Linked DNA regions of Nothobranchius furzeri. The protein of the gene in region 1 purifies or fractionates together with the protein of each later gene. This does not show direct contact. Links are inferred from orthologs where the notes say so. Each region holds a gene or a part of one and is shown in the gene's direction. Other genes may lie near its edges.

Region 1 (5,180 bases):
ATTTTATTTGTATTCAAGTAACATGTACCCTACTTTACCGTACCATGTTATTTATAGAGTGCACTTGACACGGTGCTGCAACTGACCAAAGCGCTGCAAAAAATAAAGCATCACAAGCAGAAATCATCACGTGTGTCATTAAAACAATTAAAAAGAACAACGAAGTAAAATCAATGAAACAAGGTGAAACCACAAAATACCAATCCACAGATTTAAAATTGAGCAACCAAGGTGGAAAGAAGGATGACAAAGTATGAGTTAGTGCTTCATGGTTTAGGAGCTGAAGGCCAGGGAGAAGTAGTGTGTTTTCAGGCGTGATTTAAAAATGGTGATAGAGGGCACTTGCCTGACCTGGAGAGATCGTGAGTTCCAAGGTTTTGGGGCATAGAAAGAAAAAGCCCTTTCCTGCGGGTCTTCAAACGTGCCTTAGGGACGGTGAGGAGGAGCTGAGGAGGGCAACCAATGGAGAGAACGGGTGTAATATGCTGTCTTCTATCAACTCCAGCCAGGAACCTTGCTGCTGAATTCTGGCCAGAGTAGCTTTACTGGTGCCATAAAGGCAGGAGTTGGAATAATCTAGCCAAGATGTAATGAAGGCATGAATCACCGATTTAGAAGACGGGCACTCAGGATGGGCTTTAATTTAGAAATTTGTTGAGGTGGTAGAAGCAGGACTTCACTGTGCTATTGACCTGAGCCTCCATCTTCAGAACCGGGTCCATTTTTACTCCGAGGTTGGAAACAGTAGAAGTTACATTAGGAGGATGAGAGTGGTCAGGTGGCTGAGTCGCTCTAACATTATCGGGACTAAAAACAATTACTTCTGTTTTAGAGTCATTCAGATGAACACAGTCATACAGAGGTTTAGTGGAGTCAGTGGGTTTAAGCAAAACATAGATTTGGCAATTGTCTGCATGTATGAAACAGCATGCTGTTTGAGAATGGCTCCTAAAGGCAGAATGTAGAGGGAGAACAGTAATGGGCCGAGAATGGAACCTTGAGGAACCCCTTCAGGGACCGTAGACCAACTGGGATGAGTAGTCGTCCAGCCTGACCCTGAGGGTCCTGTTAGAAAAGTAAGAACTAAACCAGTCAAGAGCCAAACCTGTGATGCCAGCCCATGTGTGTAGTCTGGAGATCAAGATGTTATGATCAATCAGAATCATCTTTATTGTCAGTGCCCCAGCGTCCCGAAGCACAGAAGTATGGCTCGGCAGTACAGCCTGACCAGATACAGGCAGACCACGAGAGCTGCCATTCAAGGCGCTCATTAGATCTAAGGCTGCTGATAGATCAAGAGGTACCAGAACCACATGGAACCCTGAATCCAAAGTCAGAAAGATGTCATTAAACACATGAACATGAGCAATTTCAGTGCTATGCTGTTGTCTAAACCCAGACTGAAAAATGTGCATTACTTGATGGTAAATGTGTTAACTGTTCATGCACAGCTTTTTCAAGTACCTTTGATAAAAATGGCAATTTGGAAATTGGTCGAAGATTAGAGAAATCAGTGGGATCAAGACCAGGTTTTTTCAAAATCGGCTGAACAACAGCATGTTTGAATGCACTGGGAACTTCAGCCAAGGTCAAACTACAAAACTGTATTTTAATATGTTGAATTATTACCCAAGTAAAGTCAGACCCAAACCTGGTTGAAATCTATTACATGACACACAACTCAAAGCTGACAGATAAGTAATTTACTTCAAACATAAACAGGGTAAAAATCTGCTGGATCTAATGTTGAATATGCTGAGCAAGCAACCTGTAATGTGGCAACTGAGTGCTTTTTACCACAATAGTTTTCCCACTGACAGATCAGTCAGGTACAATTTTGAATTATTTGGGGGTTTGCACATATGAAACAACATGCCTATCTGCAGTGACTTTGCAAATTTAAAAATTCGAATAGATTTAAATGGCTGGGCCCTGTTAAAATTAAACATTATTTTATTTGTGCTGATCTTTGGTGTTTAGTCATTTGCTACATTCCTCTCATTAAGAGGGGGAACATTGCCCCCTGGTGGAGCTAATCTGCACCTACGGGGATTTACGTCTCAGTAAAGTAGACGTGGCAGTGACGTCAATTCCGGAAATGACCCGGATCGGAACTTTAACTAAAACGGTCGGTTAGTTCTTACCAGAACATCGAGTATATTCGATAAAAATGGTGTGATGCCGACTCAAGTAAGTGAAACGAATTGAAATATGAATAATCTTCATGTTTTGAGTTTAGAGCGCAATAAAGTTCGGTTTTAATGGTGACGGAACCGGATGAAAAGCCTGTAGCGTTCTTTAGCAGATGTTAGCCGGTGGTTAGCCGGTGAGGCCGAGATCAGCTGTGCGTCGTGATGGTTCTCGAAGACTTTGGGGGTAATAATTATTACCTAATGGTATTTATATTTTGCTCTCACGTGGGAATGTTTGTGAATTGTGGTCTTTGTCATTTACCGCATTGTTGCTGCGATTTAATTGTTTTCGTAGTCGGGGCTAACGGTACCGAATAGGTATTTTTGATTAGTCTTTTCATTAAGCTGTTCACCAAAGATCCTTTCATTGTTTTTGCAGACATGTGTGTGCTTGTGCCGATGAAGGACACACCACCTTGGATGTGAGTCTGTCCCCCAGATCAGAAGGTCTCCTTGTTTATATTCATCAGGCAGACAGACGTTAGGAAGAGTTTTTCGGGTGTCCACAGCAGGCTGGTGACACTGAGCTGCGTCAGAATGACGTGCCGTGACCGAACCCTCGAGTTTCAGTCAGCCTGTAAATCTCTACAAGGCAGACAGGTATGTTTGAGTGAACTACGGCCACCATTAAGGTGTACACCTTAAATTCACCCTTGCTTTCATGTTGTGAGTAAATTGGAATGCATTTATAACAATGATTCTTTTGGTTTTGCTTTTTGGTGTGTGTGTGTGTGTGTGTGTGTGTGTGTGTGTGTGTGTGTGTGTGTGTGGTTTTGGTTCCACTTTTTTATCAGTCAGGTGATACTGTATACCTCCACAAATATATTAGTTACAACAAAAATGTTTAATTAATAATCTAATAATATATTTTTATTTATCCACTGTGTGGCTTCATACTGTTGGTTTAAATCTAACATTTTATTCCTCATATCCCCCCACATGTCAGAATGGAGTCCAGCCTAGTAAACCTGCTTCTCAGTCTCTCAGGCAACGCAGTGACTTCACACTCATGGCCAAGTAAGAGCTTTAGAGGTTTTCCTACATGTTTTATTCATGTGTTACAAATGTTCTTTTTACTGATACCACAGCTACTTTAGTTTTGAGTGTTCCAGATGATTCTTAACCTGTCTTAAAACTCTCAAGAGTGGTTGAGATAAAAATTATTTTTTATTCTTTTTTTTTTTTCTCCTGTCCTGTCTGGCTGTGAAGCAAACAGAATTAATGTCTGAATGCTGGAGACAAGCCTTACAGATTTTACTCTCAGGTGGAGCATCAAAGCTTCTGCTTTTAATGTCATGTCTGATACTTAAAACTTTATTGTTAATGTTTTTCGAATGCTTTGTAATTTCGACCGGACACGGAGACAGAGGTGAAAGAGAAAGGAAGATACAAAAGGGGAGGGGGGGGGGTCCACGAAAATAAACGATCAATGATGAACAAGAGTCTGCTTCTAGACCTGCAGAAAAGGGACACACACAACAATACAACAGGAGCAAGCTATCACTGTTTCAACTTGATGAAGAAATGTAAAATCAACATTGTTTTATTGAACAATCACACGATAATAAATTATAGTGCATTTAGTGCCAACCACAGCCTTAAGACATGTGTTGAACGTGCCCAAGTTCCAGTGCGGGCATCGTCTGGCCTATGCCAGCTGATGCCACCACACTACCCCACTTGCACCCACAGCCCTCAGTGTCTAAGTGCTGTTTAAAATTGGAAGTGGTCACTGGCACTCGGGATGAGGCTGAAAAATCCCCCTGCCAAATGCCGTTGAATGTGCTCACTCCCAAGGCCCTAAGTGTGTGCTTGCGTGGAATGTCGTTGGTGGAAGTAAGGTGCAAGTAAAATTGGGGGGCAGGTTGCCACAGGAATGCGGAAATGGGGTCCATACCTGCACCCCCTGACTTGTCCACCCTCCAAGGTCCTATGTGCATGATTGTGTGATGATGTGAGGGAGCAGGAGGAGAAAAATGTGTGGGGATGGGGAGGAATTGCTGGTTGGACTTAAGCCCTCCAGGGAGCCAGCTCCCCCACTGGCCCCGATAGTGGGGGAGCCAGCTCCCCCACTGGCCCCGATAGGCACCTCTGTTGCCAAAATGTCACCCAGGACATGGAGACCCCAGCCCATCTTGCCAGGGAACCAAAGGAGCAGCATCACATCCCTGCATTTGCACAACTCCCAGAATATATAAGACATTGGACATTGAGGTAAGGTTGGGTCCTCCCCCTCCTGGACATCCCCCTCCCCTGTGATGGAACAGCAGAGGAGCCGAGGTCTACCTGAGGCCCCTGAACCCGGGACAGGCACTGCCGCATGTTCCTGCCTTCTTCCCGGCAGCATACATGTCAGGACCCGACCCCCAAGGCCCCGCCCAGATCCCCACACCAGGCCGGCCACACCCTGAGCCCCCAGGCCCCCACCCAGACCTGCTCAGGGGCAATGCAGCTGCCAGGCAGCGACCCATGGCCTCCGCCAAGACCCCCAAGGGACCCCACTCACAACCGCCAGTAGTCCACCCCCCGAGGTTTTATTCTAACACGTGTTAATGAAGCAGAACCCAGTGTTTCCCTTACACAGGCATAGGTGGCGGCCCGCCACGGCTGAAATCCCAGCGCCACGCCTACAAGATCCCAAGTTTAATTGATTTTTTTTTTCTTTGTGCCATTTCCCGAAGAAGCAGCGGGAACTACTCTGTTGTTGCTTGTGATGAAAGCCGGCAGGCAGCAAGGAGGAGGAGGCAGGGCAGGGTGGTTACAGATAGGGCGGATAAAGCATTTTTGATGAATACGAGCATGAAACGAGTAAAACTCATAAATATCTGTAATCGTGCTGAAAGAAAATACCCATTGGGTAACTGTCTTCATGCTCCGTGATTGGCCAGTCACATAGAGCGTCCGCCCCTCCCTACACACAAAACTCTGCAGCCGGGAGCTCAGTCCGGCCCAGGCATCCACGCACACACACAGACAGTAACGGATCTC
Region 2 (3,077 bases), on another chromosome or scaffold:
GGTTGTGCTGAAAAGATTGATACCACATAAGGCAGTGCTTATGGCTTTTATTTTGGAAATACAAAAGAAAACTCTAAATTAGTCAAAAACGGCAAATTACACCCTGGAGCCCAGAGGGTTGATCTCTAGGTGGTGTGTTTCACATCCTGTCAGACGTCAACATCCAGAGCCTGTGGCTTTAAGAAGTAGGCTTTAGCGGTTTTCTCTGGATAATTCTGAATCCTAATCTCTGCACTGTTTCACGTATAAACTCTCTGCAGCACAACACCATGGAAAGTCTGTTGGAAAGAGGAGAGAAACTGGATGACCTGGTTGCGAAGTCAGAGCACCTGGGAAATCAGTCCAAAGCCTTCTACAAGACCGTAAGTCCCGTCGGCTCGTCTCGTTTCACGTCCAACTCTGACCTCGTCTGCTTCTGTTTTAAAACTCTGGTTTTTCTGTCGACCCTTCAGGCACGGAAACAGAACTCGTGCTGTGAAATCATGTGATGCTGCTGCCTCGTCCTCGTGGGGACAACTCTCTGCCTTTCTGCTTTTCCTACAACCCCCATCATGCACCGGCTCTCCACCGGGACGGAGCGCCGGGATGAGAGCAGAACGGGGTGGCCAGTTTCAGCGGGGTGACTGATGGGGGCTGCAGGAGTGATGGGGTTTGGTCGGGGGAAGGAGTGAACGTCTGTGTGCTGTTTCTTACCAACTGAGGACATTATAGCGTGACGTTATGTGCTGGTGATGTCATCGACACCTTTTAAACCCCTTTGATGTTATTCAGATCGAATCAAAAGCTAATCGCTTGATCTCTTAAAACACTGAGCGAGTATTAACCACACTTGTGCTTTCTGCTTCATGATAACTGACAATCTGGTGACGTCGCCGTTGAACTTTTGGAAACTGGTTTTCTCCTTACCCCGTTTGCCCACTAGGGGGCTCTGTTTATTTACATCACCGCTCTAATGAAGCCTCGGTGTTTAACGCGGTCTTCTAAACAACTTGGATGTTTGACATCAGACTTTTACATATTTTAATTAACATTGAGCTGCTCTGCATTTACTTACACAACTGCTTTGTTTTCTTTTTCGGTCTATTTAATGATGTTAGATGAAGTCTTCAACATTCCTGTTTGGATGAGTCTGTGATAAGCTGATAATGTGGACAATTAGCTGTAAAATGTTTGGAAACTCCCAGTTTTGTTTGTCCTCGTTTGCAAAGAGTTCCTGAAACTTCTGATAAGAACTCACTTAAAGCTGCTGTCCTGGATTTTGTTCTTGTACCTCTAAATCCAAGAAGCACTTCACCCTTAAAAACGGAGGTCATTCTGGGAGGTCTAGGTGCTCGTTTCATTTTCTGCACTCTAGTCATCTTGAATGGGTATGATAATTAAAAATGGGACAGGAAGTACTCAGTAATAGCACATCTGGCTTTTACAGTCGCCCTACAGCTGCCATTCTTCATTTTCTTTACACGACTGGAGAAAACGTCATTTCAAGAGTCCGTGCCTTTGGTTGTGTGTTTTCGATGTTTCTCTGACGTGTGTGTGTGTGTGTGTGTGTATATATCGCTGATACTCTTCCAACCTCCAGCTGCACGCTGTGTTAATGCTGAGAAGATTGTGCAGTCTCTGCTTTCTGTTGTGTAAACTTTGGTGCAACGTCTGCAGACTGTTTCTTTAACATGAAGAGGAATATATATATATATATATATATATATATATATATATATATATACATACATATATATAAATTTTCATAAGTTACAAACCTTGCATGCTTTTTCTTTTGACCAACTCCAAGCTTGTCCAGGGTTGATTTTCACTTTTTTGTCTTTTGAAAACTTCCAACTGTATTATCAGATCTCGACTGTTGCTTGTTGCAGCTCCATGTGCAGCACATATTTTTTGAAAATAAAACCTGTAACTTACTTTCTGTAAAAACACTACTCTTGCTTAGATAAAAAGCATAAATGTCTGATGTATGGTTTCATTTTTTTTATTCGTGTGCAAAAGTCAGTTATAGTGAGCTGTTGGCTTTCTGAGATGAAGCTAATAAAGCTTTTATTTTAATTTAAAAATAATAAGATAGCTTTAATTTGAATATAACACATTTCATGCATAGTTCGATGCGCTTTCCAAGAAGGAAAAACTGAAAACAACTTTTAAAATAAACGGGACAACATAAGTTACTAATAATGCAAGATAATTAAACACATCCGTTCTTTTCATTAGGAAAACAGATTAGCTGAATAATTTGATCCAGTCCGGTGCAATCAGCGATAAACATCTGTGTTTGTGGAAAATCCGAGTTTTGAAGGAGCTCTTGAACGCAGCACAGAGGGCAGCGTGAGCGTGCAGCTGAAAGTGAGAAGGACAGTTCGGAGTTTCCGACGCGGGAAATATGTGATCGAGGATGGAAAACAGGAGCTTTGTTGTCGTTAATGAAAGTTCCAACTCACAGGTGAGGAGCTAAAGGACACTAACAAAGGATTTTCTGCCAAAAGAAGCGCGAATCTTTGGGGAATCCGCGTTAATTCACCTTTAAAACCTAAACATGACGTCACTGAAGTTATTTAAAATTTCACGGTTAAAACTGAACTAAACATTTAATAAATACGTGTCTAGCATAGTATTTGTATTCTTTGCATGCTTGTCTTATCTTTTCCACGGTCGCGACGCTGATTTTCCTGCTGTGGACTTCCTGCAACAAGTTTCCATTTGCAGCCCGACTTGATTAAGCCCAAACTCCGTCTTATCTCAGGATTTATCTTTGGTTTAATATTCTAGTTGATAGAAGTGACTGGTTTCAAACTGACATCCTTAATGAGGAGTGATGTTTTTTACTTTTCAGGTGGTTCTCGGAGAGCAGCTTGTGCACCAACAGAGCAATGGTGAGCTACATCATTTGTTCTTTGTGATTCTTAGAAATCAATTCAGGCTCATCAGGGTGGAAAGTGCAAACTATCTCTGTGGGTCTTAATGATTTAACATCTTGTGGTTCACAGACCTGCAGCAAATAAAAAGGCTTTAGGTTAAAGTCTTTGTTGTGGAGCAAAGTCCATTATTCCCACAGCCAGTGTGCGGAGATC
Region 3 (4,118 bases), on another chromosome or scaffold:
GAATCTCGTCCCTGCTTTTTGCGGATGATGTGGTCCTCCTAGCTTCATCCAGCTCTGACCTTCAGCTCTTGCTGGGTAGGTTCGCGGCCGAATGTGAAGCGGCTGGGATGAGGATCAGCACCTCCAAATCTGAGACCATGGTTCTCGACCGGAAAAGGGTGGCTTGCCACCTCCGGGTCGGGGGAGAGGTCCTACCTCAAGTGGAGGAGTTTAAGTATCTCGGGGTCTTGTTCACGAGTGAGGGTAGGAGGGATCGGGAGATCGACAGGCGGATTGGTTCGGCGTCTGCAGTGATGCGGACGCTGAGCCGATCTGTCGTGGGGAAGAGGGAGCTGAGCCAGAAAGCCAGGCTCTCGATTTACCGGTCGATCTACGTCCCAATCCTCACCTATGGTCATGAGCTTTGGGTAATGACCGAAAGAACGAGATCGCGGATACAAGCGGCCGAAATGAGTTTCCTCCGTAGGGTGGCCGGGCTCAGCCTTAGAGATAGGGTGAGGAGCTCGGACATTCGGGAGGGACTCGGAGTAGAACCGCTGCTCCTCCGGATCGAAAGGAGCCAGTTGAGGTGGTTTGGGCATCTGGTCAGGATGCCTCCTGGACGCCTCCCCGGGGAGGTGTTTCGGGCATGTCCTGCCGGCAGAAGGCCCCCGGGTCGACCCAGGACACGTTGGAGAGGTTACATCTCCAATCTGGTTCGGGAACGCCTTGGGGTCTTGCCGGAGGAGCTGGTGGACAAGGCCGGGGAGAGGACGGCCTGGAGCTCCCTAATTGGGATGCTGCCCCCGCGACCCGGACCCGGATAAGCGGAGGAAGACGAAGACGAAGGTATGCTATTCTAAAATTTTGTTTAAGTTCAAAGGGTTTGGGGGGCTGGGCTTATAAGCGTATGCTTCTGCCTGCACCCATTCTTAGCATTGTGTAAGTTGTGTGTTTGCTTGTAAACCTGCACATGTTTCTTTGTTATACTATCATGTTGTACTATTGATTTTAATTTCTCATTAAACTTCTCAAACAACCATTTTAGTTTCCAATATCATCTTGTTTTATTTTCATTTATTAGCTCTCCTTTTGCCTCCGTGTTTTGCCTCCTTACTCCTCAGTTACTCTTGAATACAAGCTTATTGCTCTTTTCTTCTGGCGTAATTAAAAAGCAGAGGAAATAGAATCCAATCCAATCCAATCCAATTTTATTTATAAAGCGCATTCACAAGGCATTACAACCAGACAAGGCGCTGTACACTAAAAATGTTGGTTAATTAAACAGGCGTTATATAAACATGTCGAACACAGATAAAAGATAAAAAGGAAATATAACAAAATTCCCAAAAATAACAGCTAAAAATCAGTAAGACACAGGGTGAAGTAAAAATAGGAAAAAACATTTTACAAAGAACCTCAATAATACGGAAGTCGATAATTGTGGAGTCAGTTTATAAACAGTGCAGATGTCAGTGAGGTTCAGTGAGAATGTCACAGTGTAACAAAAGCAGTGGTACAGATGACACTTTAAGAATAACTTTCTCTTCCTTACAAATGTCGAATATTTTAGTGGCTTTATACAAAGTTTATTTTACAGGAGAGAGACGGTATAAGGTCCTTTGAGTTGCAGTGTCCTCATAACGCCGTTGACCGGTGACGATTGTTCCTCGTCGGCCACCGTATGATGACGTGGAATTTTCTTCTGCTCACTTTCCGGTTTGTTCAGCCTCGTTCGTTTTCTCTAACGTTTTCATCAACATACCGGACAGTTTTTGGTTCTGTAGGTAAAGATGAGGCGCGCCGGACTCGGTAAGAACCTGTTACACTTACGGTTTTTAGGTTTATGACGGGCTAATTTGCTAGCAAGTGCTAGCTAATGTTGTCTGACGTTAACAAGCTAGTTTCCTCCGATAAACATTTCTACTAACCTAACGGGACAGCAACGGTAAAAATAAATGTTAAGTTTTTTTTTTTCTTTTCTCCCAGGTGAAGGCGGCCCTGGTCATTATGCAGCCAGTGGTTATAGTGTGTATGAGGAGGAGAACGAGCACCTTCAGGAGGGGCTGAGAGCTAAAGTCAGCGCCCTGAAAAGTGTAAATGATAACTGCTGCATTAAAACTATTAAATTGTTGTTTATTAATATTTATTAGTAATAATCTGGTACTTTTTGCTCACAGCTGACCATCGACATTGGAACAGAAGTGAAATGCCAGAATAAAATGCTTGATGAAATGGTGAGTTTAGACGTTCAGAAAATGACTTTGTTTATTATGAACATATTTCATGACAGCTGTGGTGTTTTCCTCTGGAGTATTATGCATGACTCATTGAAACTAGGTTAGGGCTAATTTCCTATCTTAAATGGTTGATTAAATCAGTTGGGCCATCTTCACCCATCTTACTGTTTCTGTGCTTTTAACCTGCTGGATTTGTGATTTTTTCCCAATCCCTTTCCCTTTTAAGGACACAGACTTTGACTCGACGGGGGGACTGCTGGGAGCCACCATCGGTAGAGTGAAGCAGCTCTCCAGAGGCAGTCAGACCAAACTGCTGTGCTACATGCTTCTCTTCTGTTTTTTTGTCTTCTTCGTCGTGTACTGGCTTATGATCCTGAGGTGATAGACGTACCCTTTTGGACTTGGACCTTGTGACCCACATTCCCAGTCTGTTGGATCTTGAAACTAGGCCAACACAGTAACTGTGATTATGTAAGCCAGGGATTTTGTAAACGAGACGTGGCTTCATGTGCTGCATCAGAGCATTTGGGTCTGTCTGGGTTGGAGCGCCGGGACTAAAAAACTAAATCCAAATGATCAAAAAGGCAGAGGTGATTCGTAACCATGAAGCAATGTCTGTATTTGTGCGTTCCCTATAACCACCTTTAGTAAGATTAAGCAGATTTAACCTGTGACAGATCACCATGCTGTAGGGGAACGTACAGATGAAGCTCAATATATGGTTGAATTAAAATTAAGGCATTGCCCAATGATAAGTAGATCTTGTTAACAGCAGGAAACATTTCAGTTTCAACTTTGTGGTAAACACTTATGTAAATGAAGACCTTTTATGTTATAAATAGTCCAGGACAGATTTGTTTTATGATATGTAGTCTTTAAATAAAACCAGCCACACAAACAGTGATTGCTTCATTCACATAATTTGTTTTATTTTCTAAAAAAATATGGTTATTTTTCTAAAATGGATTATTAACTACTGAACAAAACTAACAAAAAATGCTTAGATTCATCTGAATAGCAAACATGATCAAAATCAAAATTCTAAGTTCACACATGGCTGAATTGCACTTCATTAGGCTTTTTTTCTTTTAAATGATCAGTATGCTTTTAATGATGATTATGACATAACAGGAGCAGCTGGTGGGCGTTACTTCTTGGGAAGAGTATCCATGTATTTGCAGATGATCCCCAGCATCACCTCGTCAGCACCTGCACCGATCGATATTAACCTGGAGTCCCTGCAGAGAAGAAAAGCCTTTTATTTATGTCACACTTAAACAAGCTGCAGGCAGCAGCTGGATCGTTGTCATAGTGATTAGTACAAAGTTGATTGTGCTGAGTCATGGTTACAGGGGAAAATAAGATGTTCAATTATGTTTACTCATTCGTTTAGAAACACTGGCTTTTTAGTCAGACTAATTTTGATTCTATAGTATAAAAAGATGTTTTGATCTAGAAGCTTAAATAATAAGTGACTGTAGCTCTTGACGGTCGTTTCAGTCCCACCTGTAGAACCTGCTGACCAGCACATCGCTGGTGTAGCCCATCCCTCCCCAGAACTGCAGACAGCTGTCGCTCAGCTCTCTCGCCAGGCGCCCAGCCTTCAGTTTGGCCATGGATGCTAGCTTGGTGACATCGTTCCCTTTAATGTACATCGCTGCCGAAAAATCAGGAGAAGAAACAAAGGTTGAAGAAAACAAGAGAAAGATGGAGGGACATGAAAGAGATGCAGGATCTCACATCAGTGTTTGTGTGAACGGGTTTTTCTATCCGTGCCTAAAAAATGCTCTTATCTGTGGGAATCTGGTCCCAGACTGGTACCAGTCAGATTAACGAACTCAAACCTGCGGACCACTGGGATAAGAAGAGAAGGATGATCACAGAACACCTGCCTCACAG
Region 4 (4,912 bases), on another chromosome or scaffold:
AAGGCTAGGTTATCCAGAGGTATCTCTGTAGTTATGCTGCTATAGGCTTAGACTGCTGGAGGATACACTGACCACTTTCCACACTCGACTACTTTCTTCTACAGTTTGCTCTTTAACTGTATTATTTCCTGCTATTTCAGCTGTTAACTTTATTTTCTCTCCAAGTGTTTTTCTCCCCAGAAGAAGCTACAATGATGTTCTGCTGAGCTGTGGTGGCCTCATGGAGGGGGCCATCATCTAGCACACTGCTGCTAACCACTAAAACATTCTCCCTCTCCTGATAATAACTTTTTGCTTTCCTTGATGTTGGATGTACTACTACTAGTTTATCCGTTTAATTATAGATCCACTAGGATAAATACAATAAAGTTCTCTCACCAAATATAATATTTACTAAGAAATCACAATGTAACTATAGAAACATTACTTGGTATTTATGTTGTGTGTGTGTGTGTGTGTGTGTGTGTGTGTGTGTGTGTGTGTGTGTGTGTGTGTGTGTGTGTGTGTGTGTGTGTGTGTGTGTGTGTGTGTGTGTGTGTGTGTGTGTGTGTGTGTGTCTGCTCTGTCTTCTCGATCCCCAGTGAGTCGTGGTGGATGGCTGCTTATACTGAGCCAGGATCCTCTGGAGGTTTCTTCCTGTTAAAAGGGAGTTTTCTTCTCCACTGTCGCTAAATGCTTGCTTAGTATGAGGATTGCTGTAAAGTCACTGACACTAGTCAGTGACTTGATGCAATTTGCTGGGTTCCTTATATAGGAAACTTTTTACTAATTGACTTAAGGAACTGAACTATATTGGAATGTTTACTGTGTGAAGTGCCTTGACATTACTCTTGTCATGATTTACTGCTACATAAATAAACTTGAATTGAAATGAATTGAAGTTTACCATCACGTAATACTTTCTCTGGGATGACTGGTTTCTTTTCCTAGCTTAAGGGGGAGATAGATTAGTTATTTAATGCAAAAGTTTCCACTCTTAACTCAGTTAAAATTTACTTCCAAGTAGTCATGCTTTTTGTAACGTTTTAAGTGCTTCTGATCAACTGTTGCAGGATTCCTGGTGGCCTTCCAGCTTTTGGCTTCTTTTTCTGCCGAGTCATGTCGGACCATGATAGTGCAATTAGTGTCAAAGATGTAGAAAGAGAACCCCGCCTCAAAAAAGACATGTCAGGCCTAAAAATATTCAATAGTGTCTGAAAGGACCCATTAGAGCTGTGGGCCTCCTTCATCATTTGCTGTTGGCCAACAAACTTACCAAATAATTATTTCTCATAAATGCAGAATAAAGTGTATCTGTAATAAACTGCTAACAAAAAAAAAATCCCCAGGTTTAACTATAGTTATTTTCTAAGTTTCCCCTTCTCATAGATTGTTTTATAATATCAAAAAATATCAAAAAGATGCAGCTTAAGAAAAAAAATCTGGCTCATTGAAATAAAAATATATTTAAAATAGCTTTTGAGCTTCAAGTCAGGTGTTCTGGGAATTTCACCTTCCCCGGAACAATAATTGAGCATATCAGTTCCGTGCAGCGAGCGCACGACGGTATTAGAGTGTTACACGCAAAGCTGTAGAGTTTCCGGCCAGCTCAGCGCGTTGCTCCTGTTGTGTTGTCACTTTACTGCCTGTCAAACAAACAGCGGCTCCAGCTAGCTGAGAGGTTGTCTCGGGTCGTGGAGGAACAGCAGGACATTCCGGAGAGATGGTGCTGCTGACGATGATCGCTCGGCTGGCAGACGGGCTGCCGCTGGCCGCTTCAATGCAGGAGGACGAGCAGGTTCACATTTAACCTTTTAGCCTCTGGAGACTGGCGTCGGGCTGCTAGAGATAACACATCTGGGTTACTAATGTCTTAGTGACACGTCTGACGATAGTGTCCTAGTCAGAGCACGATTTAACTAGGCACGTGCCTGCGTTAGGAGACGTTTAACCAATAACAGCTGGATGGATTTAAAGGACTTGATCTTCTAATAAAGGCTTAGTTTAGCAGGCCTGTCTAGTTCTCACCAGGCAGGTTTTAGCAACAACATTCACCAGAGTCGGCTTTGAGTTTAAACCTGACTACCAGAGCCTGACTTTACCATTTTCAACATCCTTTAGGAAGCTCAAATCTAAACTCATTTATCCTGCTTCTCTGTGAGCAGAGTTTTGCATAGTTCTCACTTCTCAGTTACAAAACGTCGTCGTCGTCTTCCTCCGCTTATCCGGGTCCGGGTCGCGGGGGCAGCATCCCAACCAGGGAGCTCCAGGGAGGCGTCCAGGAGGCATCCCAAACCAGTTACAAAACGTGCATTAAAAAAATTATAGGTTCATAAATTAAAATTTTTTGTTCATAAATCTTGAGTTATCTCTTATTTCTTTTATATTTCTTCCAACGAGACAGACTTTAATTTAATTAAAATGTTTCAGGCTTTCTGTGGGTGTTTGGCTGCTTTATAATAAATCTTTTTGAATCCAGGACCACTTTACTCTGAACCATGACTCAAGGCTTCTCAGCCAAAGGGGTGAGCCGTAGCTTTCTTCTCTTTGGCCTGACGTAAGAACATTATATTTTCTCATTTTAAAAAGGCCCAAATATTACAGTTTAATGTTTAAAATTGTATCATTACACCATAAATGTGACCCCAAAGAGATGCAAACAGAAAACTCTACAGATATAACATTTAGATGCTATATATCATTGATAGATTTTGTGTTTGTTTGTTTTTAAGCCGTACACTTCTTGTTTTATCTTCTTCTTGTTCAATGACCTTGTAACTTTTTGGTGCATTTTCCTGTCATGGTCAGGACTGAAAATAGTAGCCAAAGCCAAACTTTAAAAAGACCCCAAAACTATTGATCTAGATCAGTTGTTCTGGCTCGTTGGAATCATACTATAAATTATTAATGTGGTTAAAATAGTTTCTATGTTTTCTTCAGTAAGAGCCTGTTACTTTTCAAATTAGACACTAAAAGCTTCCGACGAATGCCTCTAGACCAGGACTGACATAGAATGATGTGTCTTGCCATCTCATTAACATCAGTGAATTAAGGCTACAGAATAATAAGAGGAACATGAAAGAGAAAGAGCCCAGACTTTTAATTTTTTGTTCTTTCTGAATCCATATTTATAATTTGTATTGATTCTACTCTCATCAAAATTGCTCATATTTCTAAAATCTTTACCAGTTTCAGTCTGCAGAGGTCAGTATTATTCACAAAGTGAAGGCGGACCAGTTATGGGCCATTCCCATCTGTACCGGGTCGGCCCGGGCCGGGTAGCCCCAGTCGGCCCCAGCCTGGCCCGGTTGATTCCACACATCCTTGTCTTAAACCCATGTGGGCTGATTCTACCCACCAATCAGAGGCTTGCTCTAATGGAAGGTGTGAATTTGCTGTCAGCAGTGGGTGTGTTGGCCCTGGTCGGCCTGAAGCAGACCCCCTCGAGAAGAGGGCTGAGAATGAGCCTTGGTTGGCCCGGAAAAATACCAGACCACCCAGATATGTAAACAACCTACGCTACCCGGCCCGGGCTGACCCGGTACAGATGGGAATGGCCCATTAGACGTGTGGCTGCTGGTATGAAGTCTTAAATGACTTCATGTCATGAAATGAACAAAAAAAACCCATAAATGTTCTTGTTTAAAACTAGTTGTTGCTACGCTAATGTTAACAGGAGTCTAACCTTTTTCTCCTCTCGTCTGTGTTGCTTTCATAAAGGAAAGTGAAAAGGTTTGTTGTGTGTGTGTGTGTGTGTGTGTGTGTGTGTGTGTGTGTGTGTGTGTGTGTGTGTGTGTGTGTGTGTGTGCGTGCATGCGTACGTGTGTGTGTGATACTGTAATGTGAGAATTGTTGTTTTTACAATCTTTTGATAAAGCATCAGCATCTCACTGCAGAGGCTTTATGGAGTCTGTTTTATACAAACAAATTCATTTTTGCCACGTTAAAATGGCAAGAAATTAACCTGAATGAGCAAAAGCAGGGTGAAATGTGAGCTTTTCTATTTGATCTGTCTTGTTTCAGACGCTCAAGCTTGTCAAAATGATCTTAAAGTACCACATTGACTTGTGTATTAGTCTTGCCACGTTGTTGCCCTGTTTAAACTCTTTCTAATTTGATTTAATTGTTATTGTTTGGTAATAGTTTGTTGTTTTTTGGGTGTATTTAGTTGGGTCGAGATCTTCAGCAGTATCAGAATCAAGCTAAGCAGCTCTTCAGAAAACTCAACGAGCAGAGTCCCACACGCTGCACTTTAGAGGCCGGGCCCGTCACGTTTCAGTGAGTGTTAAAAAACAATCTTCTCTACGGGTTCTGAACGCATGTTGTTCATTAAGCCCTTTTGTTGAACTACACTTTTCTTTCTTGATATAGTTACTTTATAGAGAAAGGCGTTTGCTACCTCGTGCTGTGTGACGCCGGCTTCTCCAAGAAGCACGCCTTTGCTTACCTGGAGGATCTGCAGGCAGAGTTCCATGAGCAGCATGGAAAGAAAGTTCCCACGGTCTCACGTCCATACTCCTTCATCGAATTTGGTAAAAAAAAAAAAAAAGACTGTTTGTCCTGTAAACTGTACTGGTGTTTTTTCAAATGCATCGAAGTATTTAAGATACAGAACATTTTCACAAAAGCAGGAACAGCAGACTTGTAAAAAATAGCATTTTGTGTTGCACAAAAAAAATCTTAACTGTGTTCTTTGTTTTTAGAGCCAGTCCAGCTGTGCACAGATGTGACCTTTAATGCAGGAGTGCCCTAGTTCACATTTACTTATGTAGCTGCTTTAATCATTTCTATTTTTTTTATTTTATTTTATTCATCCATTAGTTAACCAGGCGAGTCAACTGAGAACTCATTCACGACTTTAATCAATGTAACGTGCCATACGTATAGAGCCTGTTATGCATGTGATGTGATGCTATCCCAGACTGAAGCTAAA

What was found.
Region 2: the proteins of stx5a (region 1) and ykt6 purify together in Homo sapiens (affinity purification with mass spectrometry; 3 studies listed by BioGRID and IntAct, with this or other methods). This does not show direct contact. The link is inferred for Nothobranchius furzeri from reciprocal best matches to the Homo sapiens genes STX5 and YKT6.
Region 3: the proteins of stx5a (region 1) and bet1 purify together in Homo sapiens (affinity purification with mass spectrometry; 3 studies listed by BioGRID and IntAct, with this or other methods). This does not show direct contact. The link is inferred for Nothobranchius furzeri from reciprocal best matches to the Homo sapiens genes STX5 and BET1.
Region 4: the proteins of stx5a (region 1) and sec22bb purify together in Homo sapiens (co-immunoprecipitation; 4 studies listed by BioGRID and IntAct, counting the BioPlex papers as one, with this or other methods). This does not show direct contact. The link is inferred for Nothobranchius furzeri from reciprocal best matches to the Homo sapiens genes STX5 and SEC22B.

Annotation. Positions count from the first base shown.
Region 1 is NC_091741.1:87,969,273-87,974,452, forward strand, and holds the start of stx5a (syntaxin-5a), read left to right. Parts: upstream 1-2,071; 5' UTR 2,072-2,190; intron 2,191-2,571; 5' UTR 2,572-2,729; coding exon 2,730-2,792; intron 2,793-3,138; coding exon 3,139-3,209; intron 3,210-5,180. UniProt on the Homo sapiens protein: Mediates endoplasmic reticulum to Golgi transport.
Region 2 is NC_091757.1:56,085,538-56,088,614, reverse strand, and holds the end of ykt6 (synaptobrevin homolog YKT6), read left to right. Parts: intron 1-260; coding exon 261-362; intron 363-452; coding exon 453-488; 3' UTR 489-1,963; downstream 1,964-3,077. Other genes in the region: uncharacterized protein, read left to right, coding at 2,402-2,449, 2,840-2,879. UniProt on the Homo sapiens protein: Vesicular soluble NSF attachment protein receptor (v-SNARE) mediating vesicle docking and fusion to a specific acceptor cellular compartment. Functions in endoplasmic reticulum to Golgi transport; as part of a SNARE complex composed of GOSR1, GOSR2 and STX5.
Region 3 is NC_091751.1:27,117,669-27,121,786, forward strand, and holds bet1 (BET1 homolog), read left to right. Parts: upstream 1-1,634; 5' UTR 1,635-1,772; coding exon 1,773-1,791; intron 1,792-1,968; coding exon 1,969-2,075; intron 2,076-2,159; coding exon 2,160-2,216; intron 2,217-2,445; coding exon 2,446-2,601; 3' UTR 2,602-3,119; downstream 3,120-4,118. Other genes in the region: zgc:85777 (probable acyl-CoA dehydrogenase 6), read right to left, coding at 3,367-3,457, 3,726-3,876. UniProt on the Homo sapiens protein: Required for vesicular transport from the ER to the Golgi complex. Functions as a SNARE involved in the docking process of ER-derived vesicles with the cis-Golgi membrane.
Region 4 is NC_091748.1:52,857,391-52,862,302, reverse strand, and holds the start of sec22bb (vesicle-trafficking protein SEC22b-B), read left to right. Parts: upstream 1-1,566; 5' UTR 1,567-1,702; coding exon 1,703-1,777; intron 1,778-4,147; coding exon 4,148-4,257; intron 4,258-4,350; coding exon 4,351-4,511; intron 4,512-4,912. UniProt on the Homo sapiens protein: SNARE involved in targeting and fusion of ER-derived transport vesicles with the Golgi complex as well as Golgi-derived retrograde transport vesicles with the ER.